Drosophila melanogaster: one gene and its partner. The protein of the gene in region 1 purifies or fractionates together with the protein of each later gene. This does not show direct contact. Each region holds a gene or a part of one and is shown on either strand. Other genes may lie near its edges. The genes, in order: ClC-c and CG1161.

Region 1 (12,973 bases):
GCGAAGTGGTTGCGACAGATCTGCCCCATGGTCGAACGGGAGCTAATGAATCCCACGCCTCTGATGGAGGATCTAACGATGAGCCAGTGCCGCTTGGAGGAGAAACTGCAGGTGTACACGTACCAGAAACTGATAATGGGTGGTGCAGAAAACTCGCAAGGACTGGCTATCTGGCTGTGTGTGCATACGAATAACGCCCCAGTTCTGGTGGCCACCACTGTAGCTCCCCATGATGACTGGTGCGAGCATGTGGATCAGCAGCTAAAACTCTTTGTTCCCCAAAGAATGTCCGTTGGCAACTTGGTGATTTATACAGAGGCCAAAACTCTACCCCTAAAATCCTGTTTGCGAAGTCTGTGCACAAATCCGTTCAACAAGACCATGTTCGCTGGTTCGACCATGGACGGAGAGCTCTTCATCTGGTTATATGAGCAGGCGAGGGGTTCCGATTCCAGCGTCGATATCAAACAGCTATACAGTGTATCCTCCACCCAGGGAGCTGCAGTGGCTCTGGACTGGCCGCGGGAACATCTTCTGTTGGCCTGCTTTGCCAATGGCAGCGTTCGCCAGTGGGATTTAAGCAGGCAGATGGCTCTGGATTGGGAGTGAGTCTCTCTAAACACTAAACGAAACATTTCCCGGCATTAATCTTAAATATTATTTAATTAACTTCTCCAGATACACCCTGCCCGCAACGGTTAGCTCAGAGCCTACGGCAATGGTGACCCTTGGTCTGGATGACTTCGTCGTGGGCACTAACGATGGTGGCGTCTATCGCTGCTGGAACACCGGCCGGCAAACCGCAGCCATCAAGCAGATCAAATTGTTGGCCCTACGGCGACATCGATTCATGGTTTCCACCCTCCTCCGTACCGAAATGGAGGGCAACCTGTTCGTCCTGAGCTGCGATCTCAGTGGACAGGCCTTTTATCACGATATGCGGCTTGTGGATGAGGTGATAACATGACAAACAAACGAGCTGAACACTATTTATTTTCTCTTAAATAATGAACAGGACATGGCTCAGTTGATAGTACAAATTCCACTTCCCTTTAAAAACGTAATCGCCTGTAGTCGGGATGGCAACATCATCTTTTGCCCAGCCAATGATGGGTCACTGGAATACTATAGGGTGAGCGATGGAGCCCATGCCCATGTCAAGGGAGGACTTCGCGGCAAGGGAAGCCTTATCCGTAGTAGCGACAATGGGTGAGCTAATAACGAAGGAAATCAATAAAACAACAAATTTGAATAATAATTATCTTACAGACGCTGGTTAATTGCAGGCCTCTATGGCGACGAGTTCCAGATATTCTACGTAGAACACTAAATAGTCGTATTGAATTTTGTTCTCAGTTTTGAAATAATCGCTTGTATTTGCATGACTGCTTATGTTAATATGTACGGTTTTATCTTCTCTTAGGTTTGGTATATACACAATTTTATTTTAAAATTTCTCAGATCTCTAACAAATACCACATGTAAATATAGACTATGTATTGTATAAACAAGACATTTTATCTGTGTAGAATTTTGAACAAAATGCAAAAACGTAAAGCCATTTCGAAAATTTGGCGTAAAATAAGACTGCATTCTCTGTGGGAATCTCGTTAAAACCGCGTTTTCACATACGATTCACAAAATAAAATGTTCCTTTTACAACTATAGATCATTTCATAGTGTTATCAAGCTGTATGTGAACATATAAAAAGAAATATGCTGTGTGTAGAAAAGTGCTAGAATGACATAATTACAAAATGGCAATAAATGAATACACTAAACTTTTATAACCATTTGCCTACAGTAAAATAAATTATACAATTAACATTAACGAGATATATGCGATATATAAATATATAATAGAACTGCACACAATTTTGCTAAATCTCTCACGTCCGAACGTCCGATCCTATCTGTCCTAATCACGCGATTCCACTCTAATCCATTTCAGTCCACTTTGCATCCACTCGTTCAACTTTTCACTTAAGCTTAGATTGCAATCTGCATTTTGCACATAGTTCACATAATAATAACTAGAAGCAGCGCTCGCCCAACTTCTGATTGGCTGATAAATTCAGTTGAAGAGCACCGTATTGGGATCTTCGTTATCCATCTGCTTCACATGGCGCAGCACATCTTTCTTTGTAATTACGCCCAGTAGGCGACTGCAATGGAATTTGGATTAGATAACTTGAAACTGGTTAAACTGCTTCTGGCCACAAACTCACCCGTTGTGTGTTACCAATGTTTGGCGCAGTCCCAGCTTTCGGAACATGTCCACTACCGTCTCCATTGGCGTTTGATCTGTAACTGTGATCGGTGCCATATCCAGGATCTTTTTCAGCTTCAGCGGCTGGGGTCCCAGATTTTGAATAGGCTGGGATGATGTGAATAATACTATGGAGCTGCTGCTAATGCCCTCGATTAGACGCTTGGCATTGCCTATAAAATTTGTAATATTTAATTATGCAACATGATCTCGAAACAAGTTGTGACTGACCTATGGCCAAGTTAAGATCCCTGCGCAATACAAAGCCCACTAAATATTGATTCTCCCGCGACACCACCACCGGATAGCCATTGTGTTCCGTTTCTTTAAGAAGGTTCTCAACATCGTCCACCGTCATGGAGTCTTGGGTAATGACATTCAAAGTTTCATTCCGCCTAAAATGAAGTTTTTGTTAGATGATCTTGAGGAAAAAAAGGTTTTCTTTATACATACTTTGGTTGCATCACATCTGCGGCCAGTGTTGTATGCGCAAACTCTTCTTTGCTGTCTAGGAACGGATAACCATTCAGCGCAATGTGCGCATCGTAGATACCTTGCCTGCCCAGAGCATCACCCACCCACTTGGAGGCCATGGCGGCAGCCATCAGGGGCACAATATACCGCACTCCGCCTGTTAGCTCGAACATTATCACTACCAGGGAGACGGTCATTCGAGTGACACCTCCCAGCACAGCTGCTGCTCCCACAACCGCATACAGTCCGGGTGTGATAAGATTGCTGTCCGCACACTCACCGGTAAAGAACCAAATATTGGGATAGCTGTAGGCAAACTGCTCCACACCGATTCCAACAATGCGACCCATGATGGCGCCAAGGAGCAGGGACGGAATAAACAGACCAGCGGGCACTTTCATGCCAAACGTGAAGATGGTCAGGGCCAGTTTAAGTATAAAGGTGAGCATAAGCAGCCAAATGGAGCTGTACACACCAGGACCTGGCTCCGTAACTTCAATGAAACTGTTGCCCGACGTGATGTTCATGCGCTTGTAATCACTATAAGGAAATATGTAGTTATTATAAAAAAAAAATAAAAAATAATTATTATTGAAAAAACGTACCATAACGGATTGGTGACATCTCCGGGTGAGCACTTGCTAACCAATAGGAATATTAGCTCGTTCATGTTCATTCGGGTAAATGGATTGGGGTAGCAAATGATGGCAGTGACCAGGGTAACGAAGAGCACTTCCATTACTGGATACTGTCCGAGCTTGCTGAACTTCCTGTAGCGGCACCACCACAAATTGGCCTTGATGAAGAATGTGCCAATAACACCCTACAATAAATATTATGTTAATAAATTGTAGAGCTTCAAAATTAGTTCAGATTTACCCCCATAATTCCGAGGAAAACAAAAGGAATAAGTTCGAAAAAGATCCAGGGCTTGTTATACTCCACGAAAAAGAGCACGGAATGCTCGTTGCCAAACGGCGTCAGTGATCGTAAAACGAATGCGGCAATCAATGCACAAAAGAATGAACGCCACAATGTCTTCAATGGAAAATAGTATGACACTTCCTCCAGCGAAAAGAGAACTCCACCGATTGGTGCTCCGAAGGCCACCGAGACGCCTGCCGCTGCTGCTGCCGAAAGAATCTCACGCTTCTTGGCCTCATTTCGACCATATTTTGGGAAAACATGTGAGAATATGTTTCCAATACAACTGGCAATGTGGACCATGGGTCCTTCCTTGCCCAAAGTGAGGCCAGCGGATACAGACAGCATCAGACCCACCGATTTGATCAGCAGCGTCCACTTTCCTAGATAGCCGCGTATAATGAAGCCAGACAAGATGGTCTTTATCTCGGGAATACCAGATCCGCAGGCGTAGGGCGCAAACATTCGCACAAGGGAGGCGCTGAGCGAAGCAAAAAGCAAAGCCCACAGCACATACCAGATGTAAGCGACGATATATGGTCCGGTGCCATTTCGATCCAAACCAAAGATCTCTGGCCAGGTTTTCCACTGAAAATAAATGCGGTTTTAGTGCCTTATCAGGAAGAAAATGTAGTTTCACTCACCGTCGAGCAGTTGCCTTCTTCAAATACTGACTGTTTGGCCGGATAGCAGCATTGTTCCCTGTTAAACCAAAAGGCGGGTGGACAAATGCCATGCTTTAGATCCGACATCCAACTAGCTCCAATGTCCACCATGCCCGCCACACAGCCTGCGGCAATTCCGACGAGTAAAACACATAGCCAGCCAGATCCGGCATCAATGGAACCCTTTAAGTAAAATGATTGATAAGTATGGTGTGTTTTGAATCATAAACGATCTTATACCTTTATCAGATCCCACAAGGAGTCCTGTCGCTTCTTGACTATGTAGCGATGTCGCATCCGATCACGGGCAATGTCCCGCTGCCAATCAATGGTGTGAAAATCTTCGTACTGCCCAATGCCAGGAATATCATCTTGCACGTCCGAGGAACCATAGAAGGATAGTGCTCCTATAGCAATAATAAATAATACAATAAACATTACGGATTTGACACAGTAAGCTCCGAATCATGTTGTCGTAGTAGCATTACACGTGATTACGCTAATTCTAATGGTTTGGTGTCAAAGTCCAAAGAGAACCAGAGCCTTATAACCGCAAAAATTTATAGTATTTTTCTCGTGTTTCATTCAGGTATCGAGACGAAGAACGTTTACGTTTTCTTAAACAGATTCCTCGAATAAAGTTCTTACAGATATTACTCGTTCTAGCGTATTGTAAACATTGATTGCTATTATCATCAGATATACGATAGTATTTACCCAACAACTATAATTGATTCTTTTTCGTTTAAATAAATAATTCCCAATAGAAATGCCAGCTGGTTGTTTAGACAACTCAGTGATTATATTGCTAAATTAGCATCACGTGTGTAAATGGTGATTGTATTAATATACGTATGTACATATATCATGAAGTTAACTGGTGTCTCCACAATACATGTCTGTATGCTAATGATTGTACATATTAATTGAATTGCCAGCGAATGAGTACAGCTGTGAGCCGAATATTCGGAACCGGCAATGCGGCGAGGTGACGTCGCCTTACTCAAATGTTCGTGATCTTGATTAACACCACAGACAGCAACATTGGATGTTTTACGCAATGGATCTCTCCGAACTCACCGTCCATAGGATCGCCGAAGGCACTGTGAGTTGGCACATGCTGGTGCATTGTCCGCTGATTGTGGTGATTGCCGCCGCCGTTGCCGCCAGAGTGTCCGAAATCTCGTTCGGTGTCCGATTCGGTGGCCGTTTCCCGGTGATAGCCACTGCTGCTTCCTCCTCCTCCGCCGCCGCCGATCACATCGCCTGGACTGGAGCGGGGTGTGATGTCAATCATATCCTCGTCGTCGGTGCCCGCCGCCGTCAGCGAGGTGGTCAGTTTGGTGTGCTGCGCCAGCGGATGGTCACGAAAAGTTCCGTCTAGGTCGCCGTCGCCGCCGGCTCCGTTTGTGTGGCCGTTCGACTGAAAAAACGAAATAAGCAAAAAAGCTATAAGATAAGGTTTGTGAATTTGGAGAGCTAGCTAGCCTCTACCGCTTTGTTTATGCATACGCATTGATAAGATTAAGATCTCAGACACAGCGACACCGTTCAAATAATACATACATCTGTACGTTGAATTACAATTGAAAGCATTTCCGCCCCCTTGTGCCAGATTTTTTTGTGTTATCAGGGGATTCGCCCTTATCCGGGAAGCTTCAGCAGCCTATTCAAATTAAATGCCAACCGAAAGTTGGCAAGCATTTGCTTAGAATTTGGATAAAGGAGACTTCTGTGCTGGGCTTAGTGTCATTTTTTGGAAACCGAATATGGCAAATCCAGTGAAGTAAGGATTTCAAATAGTTATAGATAGATAATATCACTTTTTAGAGGAAAGTAAAGAAGTAAAGAAGAACTGTGACAAGATATTTATCCAAAACAGACAATGCATAACTGCAATATTAAGTATTTTTCCATCATATTTATCTAAAATTAAGCCACACTTCAAGTTTTTAAACAGACATTTGTTCTGTTGTTCTGTGAAAGGGGGGAAATCCCAGTGGGTTTTATGGTGGGCTACCTTTTTCATGACCGTTTGGTAGGCGGTTATGTAGCTGTTGCCCTCCGCGGCGGCCTCCCTGCTGCCCTTCAGCGGAAACTTCTCCATCCTGCGATCAGGCGATCCTACGTGGACAATTTCTTTGGATAGCTATCCAATATTTTGGATTCCCTTTTTGCGTTGCAGTCCAGCAAAGCGGCGCAGCAGCAGCGCAGTTGCAGCGCAGCGAGCGCACGTCACTAAGTACAAACACACACACGCACAAACAACTGTTCGTGGGGCGAATCGGCAATGCAATCACTTTCTTTCCATTTCACTCGAATCGCGGATGTGAACTCGATCTCATATGCATTGGGATGACGGTCGAACAAGTATTTGATCGATTATATAGTACACATTACTTTTGTGAAGTGCTTACTTTTGTGTGCGAATAATTTATTTGCGAACCGTCAGTGTGACCAGACCGGGCGAGCTAATGAAATACAGAACGTAGTGTATCGAACAAGAATCGATTGCAAAAGTAGTCGATATCATTCGCGATAGGTACGATATCCCGACGCGATCACTTTGTTCAATGAAAAAAATGCAGACGCGCGAATTACTTGCAAACTCAACACCAAACAAGTTTCAATTTCGCCTAAAAGAGAATCATATTGTTCACATACGCTAAAGTACAAGGCTAACGCCATGTCCGTTCAAGACGTACTATGGATCGTACTCACGGTGCAGTTGAGTTTTGGTCTTGCGTATTTTGAAAACAATCAAAGGACGCAGGACTATGATGTCGATAAAAATGGTTCTGTACACCACAAAAACTGGGTGCGTAACGAAATGATGGACAGCTTGGGCTTGTACTGGCTCAAATGGTGGATAAACGCCAACGAAAATAGCATTTACTTTGAAGTAACTGTTCACACACGAGGCTTTGCCGGCCTGGGTTTCTCCAAGGATGGCCGGCTGGCCAGAGCGGATATGGTTTTGATGTGGGTGGATGACGCCACAGGACATCCGAACGTCTTGGACTGCCATGGGGCGCTGCATCCTTCAAGCGGACCGCCGCTGCAGGACGATACTCAAAACTACGATGTCCTAGATGGCAAACAAAATGGGACGCACACAATCCTGAAGTTTAAACGCAAAATTGAGACCTGTGACCCATTCGATATTCCACTCTCCGTAAGTTTTCTTCGCAATCAATTAAATATGAAAATAATATAAATTTACATTGCAGGCTGATACGTTTAAGGTACTGTGGTCCATTGGGGAAAATGATCCTATTCATGGAAACTTGGATTGGCAAGGTCAGAGCAGAGGCGTGAAAGCTTTGCAATTGTTTTCGCCAATGTTTACGAAAAATAGTCACTCGATCGAAGGCATCCAAAAATGGGACATAACTGTGAACAACGTAACAATTGATCGGTCAATGGATACACTATACTGGTGTAAAATAGTGCGACTACCAGAGTTAACTGGCAAACAGCATATAATTGGTTATGAGCCGCTGCTGTCTGGTAAATACGAGAGGAATGTTGTTCACCACATGACCCTGTTTGAGTGTCAGTCCAAGATATACTCTGGATCCGATCCTTCGTCCTGGGACCTTTGGGTTAGGAGTGCCGGCACAGTGTGCAACAGCAACCTACTGACGCCACGCGACTGGGATTCGTGCTCTACGCCAGTTGCAGTTTGGTCCTTGGGATCTGATGGACAGTTTCTACCTCCCCACGCAGGGATCCCAATGGGCGGAGCATCTGGAGTTAGCTATTATATGCTGGAAATACACTACGATAATCCCGATGGAAAGGAATCGGTGGATCACTCCGGTTTTCGAATACACTACACACCCAATCTGCGAACCTACGATTCCGGAATTCTAATAAGTGGTGTTTCCATTTCGGAAACGCAACTCATTCCGCCTGGTCAAAAGAAGTATCGATCCGTCGGCATTTGTGGGCCGTCTTGTTCAAGCGTCATGTTCCCAAAGGATGGTATTAAAATAATATCCGGAACGTTGCACTCACATCAAGCTGGTCGCACAATTAGTCTTCGACATGTTCGATCTGGTAAGGAGTTGAATCCGATCATTGTTGACGAAAACTACGATTACAGGCACCAAAAAGTCCATCAGCTTGCCAATGAAACGGTCGTATTGCCAGGGGATTACCTAATTACAGACTGTTCCTATGAGACAAAGTACAGAAAACGACCCACATTCGGGGGCTATTCCACGAAGGAGGAAATGTGTCTCACCTTTATTACTTATTACCCAAAGATTGAGATGTCCGGATGTTATAGTATGACACCAGTGCGTGAGTTTTTCGAGATGTTCCGTGTGTACCAATTCTATTCCTTAAATATGACCGATGTCGAGAACATGTTTCTCTACAACAGTGACTACACCGACTACAGTAAACAGGCGAAGAATGCGACAAACAAACCAAATTCCGGAAAAACGTCCAAAGAAGACGTCATCTACCAGGAGTCTTTGTTAAACAAGCTTGTTATATCCGACCCAGCCGAATTTCACGATCGCACATTTCTATCGCATTTAAATCAGTTGCCTTGGCATGATCCTCTCTTTACGAAACGTGTTGAACAAGCATTTATAACCGGAACACATATGACGTTTTGTCGCGTATCCAAGGATTCATTATCAATTCCTTCGGAAATAATTCGCTATCCCGAGTTTACAGCGTACGTGAAGCCACCGGCAGCTTGTTTGAATTATTTGTTCACTGATAATGAAGAACTTCGTTCGGGAAGTTCACAATTTTTTACAGACTTTACGTTAAGTCTTTTATTACTCATTCAGCTCGGGTTGCAAACGACATTATTGTAAAATAAAAGTGCGTTTGAAAGTATTATTTAAGCCATCCAAAACGTTTTCAGTGAAAATGCTAGCTTACCAAATGAACGATTATCAAATATTCAAAATTATTCTCGTAATATGAAACATGAAAATATATCAAATCGATATAAACTAGGTACTAACATAAAGTAATATACATTTTATAGAGATTTAAGGTGCTTTTAAGAACTTTTTAATTTAATTTTAATTTAAGAACTTTTAAATTGGATTTAAAAATTTTGCACTAAATGTAGAAAGTAAAAAATACACCTCCGACTTGCAAACCAATCAAATAATTTTCTCTTAAATAAGTTAAATTACCGACAATAAAATAAGGATTAACTTATATTTATGTTAAGGTTTTCATATTTTTGAAGATTTACAGAATGTATGCATCTTTTCAGGGATACTAATATTAGCCTATATTAAAAATGTATGCAGTTTTCAAATAAAGTTAATTTTTATAAATATTTAAATTTTTTTGAGTGTAGTTTTGGTATATTTGTAAAGTGACCTGCTGTCAGCGAACATTCCCCGTGGTATATTTCAACTCGGCCCGCACGGTCACTCTGATCAATTTGTTTACGCCGTACAGCGCACGGATTGCAGTTGGGCCAACAACAAGGCGCGAGCATAAACAGCAATACCAACATGGCCGGCTTCGTCGCGGTGCACACGGGTACGTATCTTGGCCATGGCGGTTCCGATCCGCCGGGCAGACAGCCAGATGATTGATGACCGCCACTTGCTCTCAGGGGCTGGGAACTGCATCGACGAGACGAAGTACCAGCGGGTGATTAAGGAGGCCTGCCTGCGCGCCACGGAGATCCTTCGCAACGGCGGATCCGCCGTCGATGCCTGCGAGGCGGCCATTGTGCGGCTGGAGAACTGCGGCTACACAAACGCCGGCTATGGCTCCAATCTCTGCATGGACGGCTCTGTGCAGTGCGATGCGGCTATAATGGATGGCTCAACGCTTAACTTTGGCGCCTGCACGAACGTTAGTCGGGTGAAGAACCCCATACAGTTGGCGAGACGCATCTGCGATGCCCAGTCCAGTCCGCAGCTTCTGGAGCGCATTCCACCGATGATCCTCGCCGGCACTGGAGCGGAACACTATGCCGACGAGGTGGGTTGCTCCATGGTGGAGCCCGGCGTACTGATCTCATCTAAGGCCAAGTTCCAGTTTAATCACTACAAAAGCAAGTACGACCTCGTGGTCAACAGCAGATTGGGCAAGGCAACGTCCGAGGAATCCGTACAAGTGCCGGAACCAGGAAACGAGGTGGAACTTGCCGCTGCTTTGGACACAGTGGGAGCGGTATGTGTTGATGGGGCAGGGAACACAGCAGCTGGATGTAGCTCCGGTGGCATACTGCTCAAAGTTCCGGGCAGAGTGGGGCAGGCGGCTACTTATGGTGCCGGCTGTTGGGCCACCGATACGGACGAACTGGCCATAGCCACCTGCACAACCGGAAACGGCGAGTACCTGATGAAAACGCTGCTGGCCCGAGAGATCTGCCATGGGGCATTTAGCAGTGATTGTGCGGTGACCAGTCTTCACAAGACGTTCAAGCAAAAGTTCCTGGACTCCCCGCTGCTGCCCCGACAGCAGGATCTGTACGCTGGAGCTCTGACGCTACTCTATTATCCGGGCCAGAGCAGCGGCGAGGTGATGTGGAGCCACACGACGCAGTCGTTCTGTGTCGGCTACATGGCAACCAACCAGAGGGTGCCAAAGGTTCGTACACCCATCCATCATTTTCTGATTTCACATATAACTAATTCGGCGTATGTGTTTATATTTGCAGTTTGTGCATTCGCCGCTGCCCACGTACAGCGTCCCGGGCCGATCGTGCGTCGTCAATGGCCATAATTTCCATTTGCGCATTTAAATGTGGGCTGGCCAACTAGCCGCAGCCCCCAGCACCTTCCTGCAGCTCCTAGTCCCGCTGCTCTGCATCTGCAATTCATTTGATTTAATGTTTAATTGCCGCGACAATCGCTGCCAATGACATATGGGAGCAGAAGGCGCCTGAGGAGCTGGGACAGCATTATGTGTATATGCTTCATTCTCTCGGCGAAATATTAAGATAATTAAGCAAATATTTTTATTGTAAAAATCTCGTAGATCGTAATGTTTGCAGTACTAGTAGTAGCAATGAAATAGGATTTCGAATATATTGTATCCCTCGTCGAACCGGGTGCGCTAGATAAATCAGCCGGCGGCATGCGAGTCTGTTCGGAATATCATATTCGAGGGGGCATATGTTTGTATCCGTTTGTATATTTAGACTTGCGCTGCCTTGTGTGCGCATCTGTGTGTTTATGTCCAAGTGTTTACGGCCATCAATGTACAGAACTTAACCCATTAATATTAGCTAAGCAGAAGCCACAGCATGCACACACAATATCAAGGTCTCCACTATCGCGAGTTGTCCTCAACATGAAAATTGTGAAAATGCTTTTACTTTTTAGCGTAAATCGATTTGTACATATGTACATACACATACGCATATGACGCGAGATTTTCTAAACGAAACATTCATACGTATTCATTTCTCCGTTTATGGGGTTCCAGCTAATAATCCTATGGTATTTCATGGCATATAGAATGCTAGACATCTCGAGGCTTTTTCAAACTGCATGCGCACCAGCAAAAAGTGAGTTCCATTAGATGATGATTAATACTGCCTAAGATCATGATCTTCATGTTAGTCATGTTTAAAGCCAGTTATATCCCAAGAACGATTTAACACCAATGACGAATTTCAAATGTATCGTATTTATTATTTCGGACCTATTAAATGCCTATCAAAGATTGTTTACAAATATATATCGCTTTATTATTTTAGAAGGTTTGTAAAAACCATATTATTGCTTTAATTAGAAAACTGGCGGAAAATCGTTTGCTTAAGGAGTAGGAGTAGTCGTAGAAGTTGTTGAGGTAGACTGTGTGGATGATTCCGTAGAAGAAGACTGCGTGGTGGAAGCAGTCGTGGAAGAAGACTCGGTGGAGGATTCCGTAGATGAAGAAGCCGACGAGGACGCAGTCGTTGGTGTAGATTCCGTTGATGAGGAAGCTGTGGATGAAGCAGTCGTTGATGAAGACTCGGAGGAGGACTCAGTTGAAGAAGCAGTCGATGAAGAATCAGAGGGCGACTGAGTCGTTGTATCCGAGCAGCTGGTCGGCCTGGTTGTCACACATGAGCTGGTGGTTGAATCAAAGAACGGCGTGGAGGCGCCGCAAGTCATATAGAGGGCAACCCAGGTGGTTCCAGATTTCTGGCAGTACAGGTAGCTGTTGCACGTGGAGTCATCGGTTATTCTGGTAAAGAAGTAACTAGGATTGGTACTAGGCTCGCCAGCATTGCACAAATCCTCTTTCTGCGCAGCACTAGGAGTTGTCGTTGGAGCCACTGTAGTTGTTGTGGTTGGCTGATAAATACTGTTGCTACAGGTGGCATCCAATCCAAGCTATAAGGTATAACATGTTAGTATGAATAATTTTTAAAGTCCAACAAAACCTACAAATTCGGAGGCACAAGACGGTACACAGACGGTTTGATACGTCGACAGAGCATCTATGATACAAATCTCATCTGTGCCGCAATTGTACACACTGCTGGTCAGCACATCGCCGGCGGAGGAGCAGCGGGCATACTGGGTGCTGCTGACACAGGCGTATTTGGCGCCTGAGGAACACACTTCGCACTGAGCTCCATTTCCGCCAGAGCCTCCACACACGTCCAATATGGTCGAATTTACCTCGGAGATCAGAGCACAAACGCTAT
Region 2 (9,249 bases), on another chromosome or scaffold:
GCCAGTGTCCTGAGCTACGGGTACCTGGGCGATGTGGCAGCCCAGAGCGAGAACTACCGCTGGATGGGACCGCGCCGGTACGAGTACAGTGGCGTCAAGGCCTTCCTGAATAATCGCGGCTATGACGCCGAACTGAGAATGTTAGAAGAGCCCGATCTTCTACTGACCACGCCGCTGGAGGACATTCCGCAGAGTCCGGATAGTGTGTGCTCGCTGGGAGAGTCAGTGCCATCCGTCTGCTATGCCAATTGCCAGCGCTGCAGCTTCGCCAGCAGCATACAGGAACAGCGATCCTCATTGTTCATCCAAGAGGAATCTAAAGAGGCAGAGCGCAATCAGCAGGTAGAAACAGAGGACTCTCATCTAGCCGCCAGTGAAGCAGCACTCCTGAGGCCTCGTCCGCGTCCAGGCAATCTTCGATTGCCCACTGGCTCCATTTCATCAATGAGGAACCTCGGCAACGATCAGTGGAAGGTTGTGCGGGGCAATTTCTTTATGATCTGCGGCGCGAACATAACCTGCGCCTGCGCCAGGAGTCCCAATGGCATCTCCCGTTACAGTCATCTGGGTGATGGTTGCCTGGACCTGATTCTCGTGAAAAAGACCTCACTGCTCAACAACGTGCGTTTTCTGCTCAACACGGCGGGCAGAAGTGGTGATATTGTGAGTACTAACTATTACAACTATTCAACTTTCACATCCAAAAGAACACCTTTCCTATAAGAGGCGTCCATTTCCTTTGAAATAACATTTCCATAACATTTTAACTGCATCTTTAATTGCCAAATCCCCTAAGCCTACAAGCTGAGCTTAGTGCTTTCTATCCTAAAAGCCAAAAACCCAAAACCGAACCCCATCTAGCTCGGATTGAAGCGAGGGAAATCTGTGACAGAAAGGTTATTTTACGAAGATCTACTAGCCGCTCTGGTGGCATCCATATAAAGTATATACTTGACCAGTTTCAACAATATAATGTTTTATCTAGTGAATGCGATGGTATCTTTTACTGTAAAAATATAAATGAAAAATAAAAGGATACAATTAAATTTTGTAGAAAACAATAAATATTTAAAAACATTTTCCCATTGCAGCGCAATTTGCCTTTTGTAGAGGTATATCGCACAAGGGAATTCCGGTTCAGAACTTTTTCTGCCAGCGAGGAGGACTACAGCTTGGCAGGGTCTTGTCAGCCGATTACACCGCCTGAAGAAATGACCGCCCACTCCTCCTCGACGGAGTTTTCCAGCTGGAACTGTGATGGAGAGGTGGTGACCGACCTGGACATAACCATGCGGTGAGTTGGTTGTACCTTTAACTTCAATAAATCGCTTATTAACCGTTCCGTATCTGGCAGATCGCATTGTCAGCTCATCGAGGTCTTCATGCGGGGTCCCCATTCCTACAGCAAGCCCCTCAAGGGCGGCACCACGCCCACAACCCCAGCTAGCTCTAGCGACAATGTTTACTGCTGCTGCAAGGACTAGAAGCTTTAACCCCATAGAATTAGCATCAATCGTTGGCCGTGACATGTAGCTCTTAGTTTTGCGTAGGGTATCCTTATTCGTATATGTATCGTGTTAAAGAGCGGGTCTCCCCGTCATTGTTTTTAGCATAGCTCAATAAAGCAACTGATATTATCGACTGTATTATGGCATCTGAAAGATGCGGCAGCAACCTAAACATTCCCCTCGGAAGCATTATGCACATACCTATATATTTACAAATTGTGTACTGGTATACTGGCAATAAAAATGTATTTATATGTCTTCAAATTTATAATTCTTTATTATTAATTTATATGATCAAATGTTATGATAAAAAACTTCGTTGGGTTCCCAAAAACAACAATCCGGAACATGTGCGTTTTTCCCACCAATATGAATAAAAGCAGAAGTTTTAGCAAAAGAACCTTATTCCGCTTAAAAAGCTATGGAGAATCGTGTTCGAAGGGAGAGAAGGGAGATATTGGATTTGTAGATTGACCAGGATAATTTCCAAACGTCATTTACATTTATTGCTCTCGATTCTTATACTTTAATGACCATTGAACGGCTTAAAATGAAGTAAAGCAAATGGTCATTATATATTAACTAAACATATATTTAGTTTCAAGGAGTAGTAAATACCGTAGAAGCAACGGGTATACATGAGTCTTAATCCTAATTGAGTGAAAAGTTCTTTAATTTCTTATCTTTCTTCTCCTTGATTTGTATTATCAACGAGGATTATAAAGACAAAAGTAAAAAAACAAATTCAGTATAGGCAGCGTGGTGTTAACTGTTTTACATTACTTTTAACATCAACATCTAATAAAATGTTAAAAAGTTCACAATTAAACTTCAAATTAATTTAATTTAACACATGTAAAACGGTGTGACCAAGCTAATAGTGGATTCATCTTTGGTATGTCTGGTATTTTTAGCTACCGGTTGCCGATACTGGTATTGCCGCCCGCCTAAAGTCTGTTCACACTGCGCTGACTCTTGATTTTATTTGTGCCCGTCATTCTCCGGCAGCGACAAACATTTCAAAGTCTCGCGTTATTCCAGTCTCCGAATAAATTAGCATGTTGAACAACTACAACAGCCTAGCGCAGCCCATGTGGCAGAACGGACCCGCTCCCGGCGAGTTCTACAACTTCACGGGCGGACAGACGCCGGTCCAGCAGCTACCGCGGGAGCTGACCACAATGGGACCCTATGGAACCAAGCACAGCACGTAGGAACTGCGGATATGTTTATATGCAGATGTACCACTTGTTTACACTCCTTTTACTATTCCGCAGTGCTTCCAGCACCACGGGCACTTCCGTGCTTGGCATTCGCTATGATTCAGGAGTGATGCTGGCCGCCGACACCCTGGTGTCTTACGGATCCATGGCCCGCTACCAAAACATTGAGCGCGTCTTTAAGGTCAACAAGAACATCCTGCTCGGCGGGAGCGGCGACTTCGCTGACATCCAGTCCATCAAGCGCAACATCGACCAGAAGATGATCGAGGACCAGTGCTGCGACGACAACATCGAGATGAAGCCCAAGTCCTTGGCCAGTTGGATGACCCGTGTGCTCTACAACCGTCGTTCGCGGATGAACCCCCTCTACATTGACGTGGTTGTCGGCGGCGTGGACAACGAGGGGACTCCGTACCTGGCCAACGTGGATCTCCGTGGACGATCCTACGAGGACTACGTGGTGGCCACTGGTTTTGCCCGCCATTTGGCCGTTCCGCTGGTCCGTGAGAAGAAGCCCAAGGACAGGGACTTTACCGCCGTAGAAGCTTCCGAACTGGTAAGGAATTTCGAACTCTGATGGGGGGACTCTTCATTATTTAACTACCCTACCATTTTCTTATATTCTAGATCCGCACATGCATGGAGGTGCTTTACTACCGCGATACTCGTAATATTTCCCAATACACTGTGGGCGTGTGCAGCGTCAACGGATGCGGCGTGGAGGGGCCCTTCCAAGTTAACGAAAACTGGACATTCGCCGAAACCATAAAGGGATACTAGAGCCTCCGATTCTGAATGAACTTAGTTTAGGTCTAGCTCGGCGGTTTTGCATTAAAAAAAAACACTTGTCTAAGGATATGTGGTTACATGATTTATTAAAAATAAATGTGGCTGAAAATAATACGTTTAAAGTTATGGTTATTGTGTGATAGAAACTATCTTCGAGTTATTCTTTCGTTAATCTCTACTGATGGAATCAAAAAGTAGGCGTCAAACTAAGAAGCCCAAGGGAGTTTCCAAATCTAACTTGGACTCACCATTACGGTCTTACGTTCCTTATTTTCCCAAATTATAACCATCAATTATCATTAAAAGTTTTATTTTAGTGGATTTGTTGGTTATTCCTCCCGGCATTCAACTTATTAATTAATATGCAAACACTCCTGACAAACATATTTTGGTTTATTTTAATTAACATAAAATCTGGCTAAATATACAGATAATCAATTTGATCCAAAGGGGAATTTCGCAAAGGATAACTGCTTGGAATACGTGTCTTAAGTCGCCCATGCGCCTCCTAATCTCCGCCAGCTGCAAACCGAACCCCTTGTTAGTTTAGCATGGTATGCCTGTCGTAGATGTGGCGTCTCTGCTCGCGCACCTGCCGCTTCCACTTGTCCTGCTGGTGGCCCACACGATTGAGGACATTGGCTCTGGCACTGAGCTCCTGGTTGTTGACGGCTGGCAGGGGCGGCGTTGGTTCATCCTGGTTAGAAAAGGGTGGAAAAATGTGGAATTAGTCGAGGTGATCCAAGATCTGGCCGTGTTAGTTACTGTCTTAATGAAGTGACGGTGTGGGTTAGAAAGTCAACAAAATCTATAACGCAAAATGAAACAAAGGTGGTTGTGGAAATTAAAATCTATTCAAAAGAGTGGTGCTTCTTTATTGCCAACTAGTTGAGCCGCTTCGGCATCAACATCGTCATCTTCATCATCTTCGCCTTGGGCTGTAACTAGGAGGCTATACTGAATGCCCTTGTATCTAGAAAGCTTGTTATGTACATCTTCGTTGGTGTGCTCCTGGTAGTTCGCCTTCACTCGCTTGTTCAGCAACGGGTCCAGGCACATCAGGAAGAGCATGTATATTACTAAAATGGAGATGATCCAAATCACAATAATGACCACGACCTGGATGGGGGAGAGAGCTGGTTAAGTACGGACGGCTTTTGAGCACTCGAATTGACTCACCTTTATCAGCGTCGTATTTCTCGCCACATGGGAGCACTTGCACTCGGCGCATATGGGCAGCTCCTTGCCATTGGCATCCAAACGGGGCAGCAGGGCACCGGCACAGACGCTGAAATGGTAACGTGTAGCAGGTTGTTAAGAACTCCAACCTAACAGAATCACAAATTAAGCTCATTGATACCAAGATGCCTTATACATTTAGTAGCTGAAAAGTGAATACATTTGTGCAATACATGAACTATGATTCTTTGAAGCCTACGCAAACAACGTAAATTGAATTTAAAGTAGTAGAATCCAGTGGGACGAAAGGGATTGCAGCTTTAAAACTGCTCAAATGGACTAGACTTTAAGTTTCCAGATGCGGCAATTTCTGCCAGTGCAGTGCCACTTACCACTCAGTTGTGCTGCTGGAATTGGAAGAATTTTTGCCTGGAGCAGCGAGCACAGGCTGGCCGATGACCTTGGCCGGAGGGGCGGCAGTGGGAGCTGAAACTTGCTTGGCTAGTGGAGCTGCAGCCGCTGGAGCTGCAGGTGCAGGCACAGGAGCAGGTTGAGCATTGCTGTTGTTGTTGCTGTTGGTGCCGATCGCTGGGAATGTCTGCGCCGCAGTCTCAGCCTTTGTTGATTGTTTGAGGGGGAAATGAAAGCGGATTAGTGGGGCAGTCACGGGATGTGGCCAGTCATCATACCCATGTCACGCCAACCAAATAACATATCACCAGTAGCACCGCGTAGACGAACAGGCGCTTGTGTGCCATTAATTTTTCTTTAATTTCAATTTTCCTCAGTTTTCTTGCCTTTTATTGGAGAAAATTCCCTTGCAATTTCGCAGAGTGACCGTACTTGTCTGGTGCACAGAAAATACCAACAAATTGTCGCTCATCGAACTAGTTCCTTTTGGTGCAATTAGTTTTTAGGCTAATTATTAATAACTAATTATTTCCTTCACGATATAACGTTCATTTAATTCTAAAACAATCAAGAAATAAGTTTCTAGGCGTATCAATAAATCTGTGACGTCAAATTCGTAATCTGCTCTCTGAAAAGACTAATTATATTTTTCCTTTATTCAACATTTATTATATACATTAAGCTATTTTCCGTTAATGGAATAAGTTACAGCAATATGGAGTTTGTTATAGTATTATGTTTATTTTTTTCGGTGAGTCCATAATTTGGATTTTACCGCAGCCTGGTCACACCAGCACCGTCAAAAATAGCAATTGTTTGCGTGTGCAACGCTGATTTCAACCGTAATTGCCGGTACAGATTGACTGACTTAGGTCCACGGACTAGGATACGATAACTAGAACAGGACACGATGCAGCACATACTACTTCTTACAGGACTGGCGCTGGTAGGCAGCATTTCCAGGGGAGCCGGTAAGTGGCGACCTGAAACAAAGTCGCGTCTATGTGGTCTTCTCTGATTGGCCGCCCCTCTTTCTGAACCTTCCGTGGCCATAGTTAATGCTTATCTTATATTCTATCTTGACCCTGCTGAACACAGCCACCGAATCCAACGTGGTCACCTGCGGCTCCATCCTGAAGCTGCTCAACTCGGACTACGCCTTCCGCCTGCACTCCCACGACGTCAAGTACGGATCTGGTTCCGGGCAGCAGTCGGTGACGGGCGTGGAGCAGAAGGAGGACGTGAACAGCCACTGGGTGATCAAGGCGCAGACCGGCGAGCTTTGTGAAAGGGGCGAGCCCATCGCCTGCGGATCCACCGTGCGACTGGAGCACCTGTCCACCAAGAAGAACCTGCACTCGCACCACTTTTCGTCGCCGCTCTCAGGCGAGCAGGAGGTGTCCGCGTACGGAACGGATGGACTCGGCGACACCGGCGACCACTGGGAGGTGGTCTGCTCCAACGAGAACTGGATGCGCAGTGCCCACGTTAGGCTGCGCCACATCGACACCGGCATGTACCTGGGCATGTCCGGCCGCTCCTATGGCAGACCCATCTCCGGCCAAATGGAAATCGTTGGCGTCCACAAGCCGCAGCACGGAACGCGCTGGACCACGGCGGAGGGCCTCTTTATCGTGCCCAAGGAGAAGAGCTCAACGCACGACGAGTACGCCCACTCGGAGCTGTAGTGCTCCCTAAGGACCTCGACTGCTGCAGTTTCATACTACTATTAGTTCTGTAATTTATAACTTAGTTGAATTTTTATTGAAGACCCCAAAAGCAAACCATCAAATTAAAATTATTTAAACTCAGGGTACTTCGAAACTTTCAGATTGCTTTCATCGAAAGTTATGTATTCTATGTATGTATTATGTATTCTATCTAGAAAGTGCCTTGCATAAAGGCAGTCGTAAGAACCACTTAGCTTAAATGCATTGCAACAAATGGGGGCGTCTATAGAGCCCTTTTTAAGGTAGTGAAACCTCAGTTGCAATCTAACTTTTCTAAATTTTTCTAGAACTTTGATTGATTGTCTACTTAGTCAGTTGCAGGCACACAAATGCTTTTTTATTTTTATGTAACCTTTTATATTTTAAACGGGTATTTTGAGGCAATAGTACTCTTTCTGTTGGCATTACTGCAGTTAATACAGATGTATCTATTCCATGTAGTGCTGAAAGACATGCGTAGGTTACCAGGTGCTAATAGCGTGTTCGTGTCACTTTTCTACTACTCATTGATGATTAAGACTGATTGCATTTGGCGGAAAATGTCGATATCTTTGAACTCCAACAGAAGGTATCCCATGCCGGATTGACAGCCCTTTAGCTTGAAGCTAAAGCGGGAAGTATCCTTGCAGATGCAGCCGTAGGGCGTCACTCGCATTTCGCGAAAGGTGCTCCCCATTCCTTCGGATGTTTTTGTTTGCATGCATAAAACAATGGGGCTTATTCCGACCATACAAGCTATGTATATACATTTTGCCATTGCTCGCGGTTTCCGCTCCCTTGCTGCCCCGATATCGTCACGTCCATTATCTGCTCGTCTGTTTTGTGTTTCTTTTGTTTGGGCCATTGTCAACGCTTTGTCTGCTCATCCTCCGGGCCATGTCCTCATCCTCCGCTGCCTCCGCCTCCTTCGCATCCCCGTAATCCCAACTGATTGTGGACCCAGTAAGGTCAAAGTGTTAGCTGATCTAACCCAGCGCACAGTCGTTTATAGATTCTCATAATCGGGTTGTCCTTGTAACCATTTTGCACAAATAAGAAATGGAAACAAGGATACTCGTTCTACTAGTCTGATGAGCGATGTTGTCCCCAGCAGGAAATCTTAGCAAGATCCACCATCTGAAGATAACCCTCAACTCCGTAATTTCATGCTTTACGATGCAAATACTGGAAGTATCAAGCTTTGAATCTTGTGTCAACTATTCCTGATTGGAAATTCTGTACAGCAATTATTATAGACTTTCAATAAATTGTCATAAATAGTATATGGAATATGGATAGCACATAGCTGTCCACGATGTCATATTACCAGAACATAGTATCGGAGAGTATAAAACACTTTAGTTGTCGATTACCATCTGAGCATGTTAAACTTTGTATAGTGAACCAAATGTTTTTCCACGGCTTAGTATAAAAGTCTTCTTCATTTTGCTTATATTGCTACAGAAATGAACGTCTTAACATTATATATAATCCTTTAAAATTGATCAATTATCGCATAATTTAATGCAATATAGTGGGCTTATGTGTTTAATGAAATCGGCAATGCTGCCACCTGCTGTGGCAACATACCATTTAATATCACGTCAATTATCCCTTACAGGTGTTGATAACTTCCGTTCTGCGCGTTTATTGATTTACCCTTAACGTGTTAACGCCAAACTCACTCATACGCACACCCATACATACATATGTATAAGGATGTGTTCCTGCTCGCAGGACTTTCCCTCCCCGACAACCGGATTCCATTGTTAAGCGGTGGCCCATCCTTGTATTCATCGTATCCTTGTATTGTGCTTCCTATGTGACCAATAATAAAGAGAATATTTTGGAGCGAAGCTACACTATTAAAAATTTTCATTAGACTTAGTGTAGAAAACTGTATAGATCGGGATAGATATAGCGAAATAAGCTCATAAGCCAACTAATCAAGTATTTCCTAATCCAATTGCGAAACTATTCGGCATTTAATACTGAAAATAAAACTCAAATCTCTTTCTCTGCACGCATAAATGCCCAAGTGTTTTAGCAATCCTACGATAATATATATTATACATATAAAAGGGAAACGTTTTCCCTTATCGATTTGTCTTAATCGACAGCGGGCAAAGTTTAAAGCGCTTAAAAGTGGGAAAGGACTCGTTGCTTGAGTGACTGACAGATTGACACAAAATGTTTGAATGTTGCGATGTTTGTTTGTTTGCGAGTGTGACGCCTGCCCCTCTGCCGCACAATTCCAAACGAAAAGTACGTTGTGTATACGCACGAGTGGCTGGAAAGCGTAAGCAAAACGCCCTGCATACTAACCGGCGCACCCTGACCTACGTCGTGGCGAAATATCTCAAAGTTACTTGGAGTACGATTAGAAAGCTATCCACATGTTTTAATTTTCGAAAATAGAGTAGGTTTAAC

Evidence for each region.
Region 2: the proteins of ClC-c (region 1) and CG1161 purify together in Drosophila melanogaster (affinity purification with mass spectrometry, with the first as the bait; one large-scale study listed by BioGRID). This does not show direct contact.

Annotation. Positions count from the first base shown.
Region 1 is NT_037436.4:16,084,298-16,097,270, reverse strand, and holds ClC-c (chloride channel-c), read right to left. Parts: upstream 6,818-12,973; 5' UTR 6,440-6,817; coding exon 6,353-6,439; intron 5,756-6,352; coding exon 5,413-5,755; intron 4,740-5,412; coding exon 4,573-4,739; intron 4,516-4,572; coding exon 4,312-4,515; intron 4,256-4,311; coding exon 3,623-4,255; intron 3,567-3,622; coding exon 3,349-3,566; intron 3,284-3,348; coding exon 2,723-3,283; intron 2,665-2,722; coding exon 2,501-2,664; intron 2,443-2,500; coding exon 2,229-2,442; intron 2,166-2,228; coding exon 2,075-2,165; 3' UTR 1,331-2,074; coding exon of another isoform or gene 1,270-1,330; 3' UTR 1,268-1,269; intron 1,215-1,267; 3' UTR 1,210-1,214; downstream 1-1,209. Other genes in the region: CG13074 (uncharacterized protein), read left to right, coding at 1-605, 679-955, 1,016-1,209, 1,270-1,330; CG5235 (uncharacterized protein), read left to right, coding at 7,019-7,507, 7,563-9,170; Tasp1 (taspase 1), read left to right, coding at 9,831-9,858, 9,935-10,920, 10,991-11,074; CG13075 (uncharacterized protein), read right to left, coding at 12,093-12,656, 12,711-12,973.
Region 2 is NT_033777.3:5,351,393-5,360,641, reverse strand, and holds CG1161 (uncharacterized protein), read right to left. Parts: upstream 5,551-9,249; 5' UTR 5,458-5,550; coding exon 5,389-5,457; intron 5,316-5,388; coding exon 5,092-5,315; intron 4,809-5,091; coding exon 4,700-4,808; intron 4,640-4,699; coding exon 4,514-4,639; coding exon of another isoform or gene 4,376-4,513; exon of another isoform or gene 4,218-4,375; coding exon 4,062-4,217; 3' UTR 3,894-4,061; downstream 1-3,893. Other genes in the region: Cerk (ceramide kinase), read left to right, coding at 1-663, 1,092-1,294, 1,355-1,484; Prosbeta7 (proteasome beta7 subunit), read left to right, coding at 2,567-2,718, 2,786-3,287, 3,359-3,511; CG11999 (uncharacterized protein), read left to right, coding at 6,021-6,081, 6,209-6,798.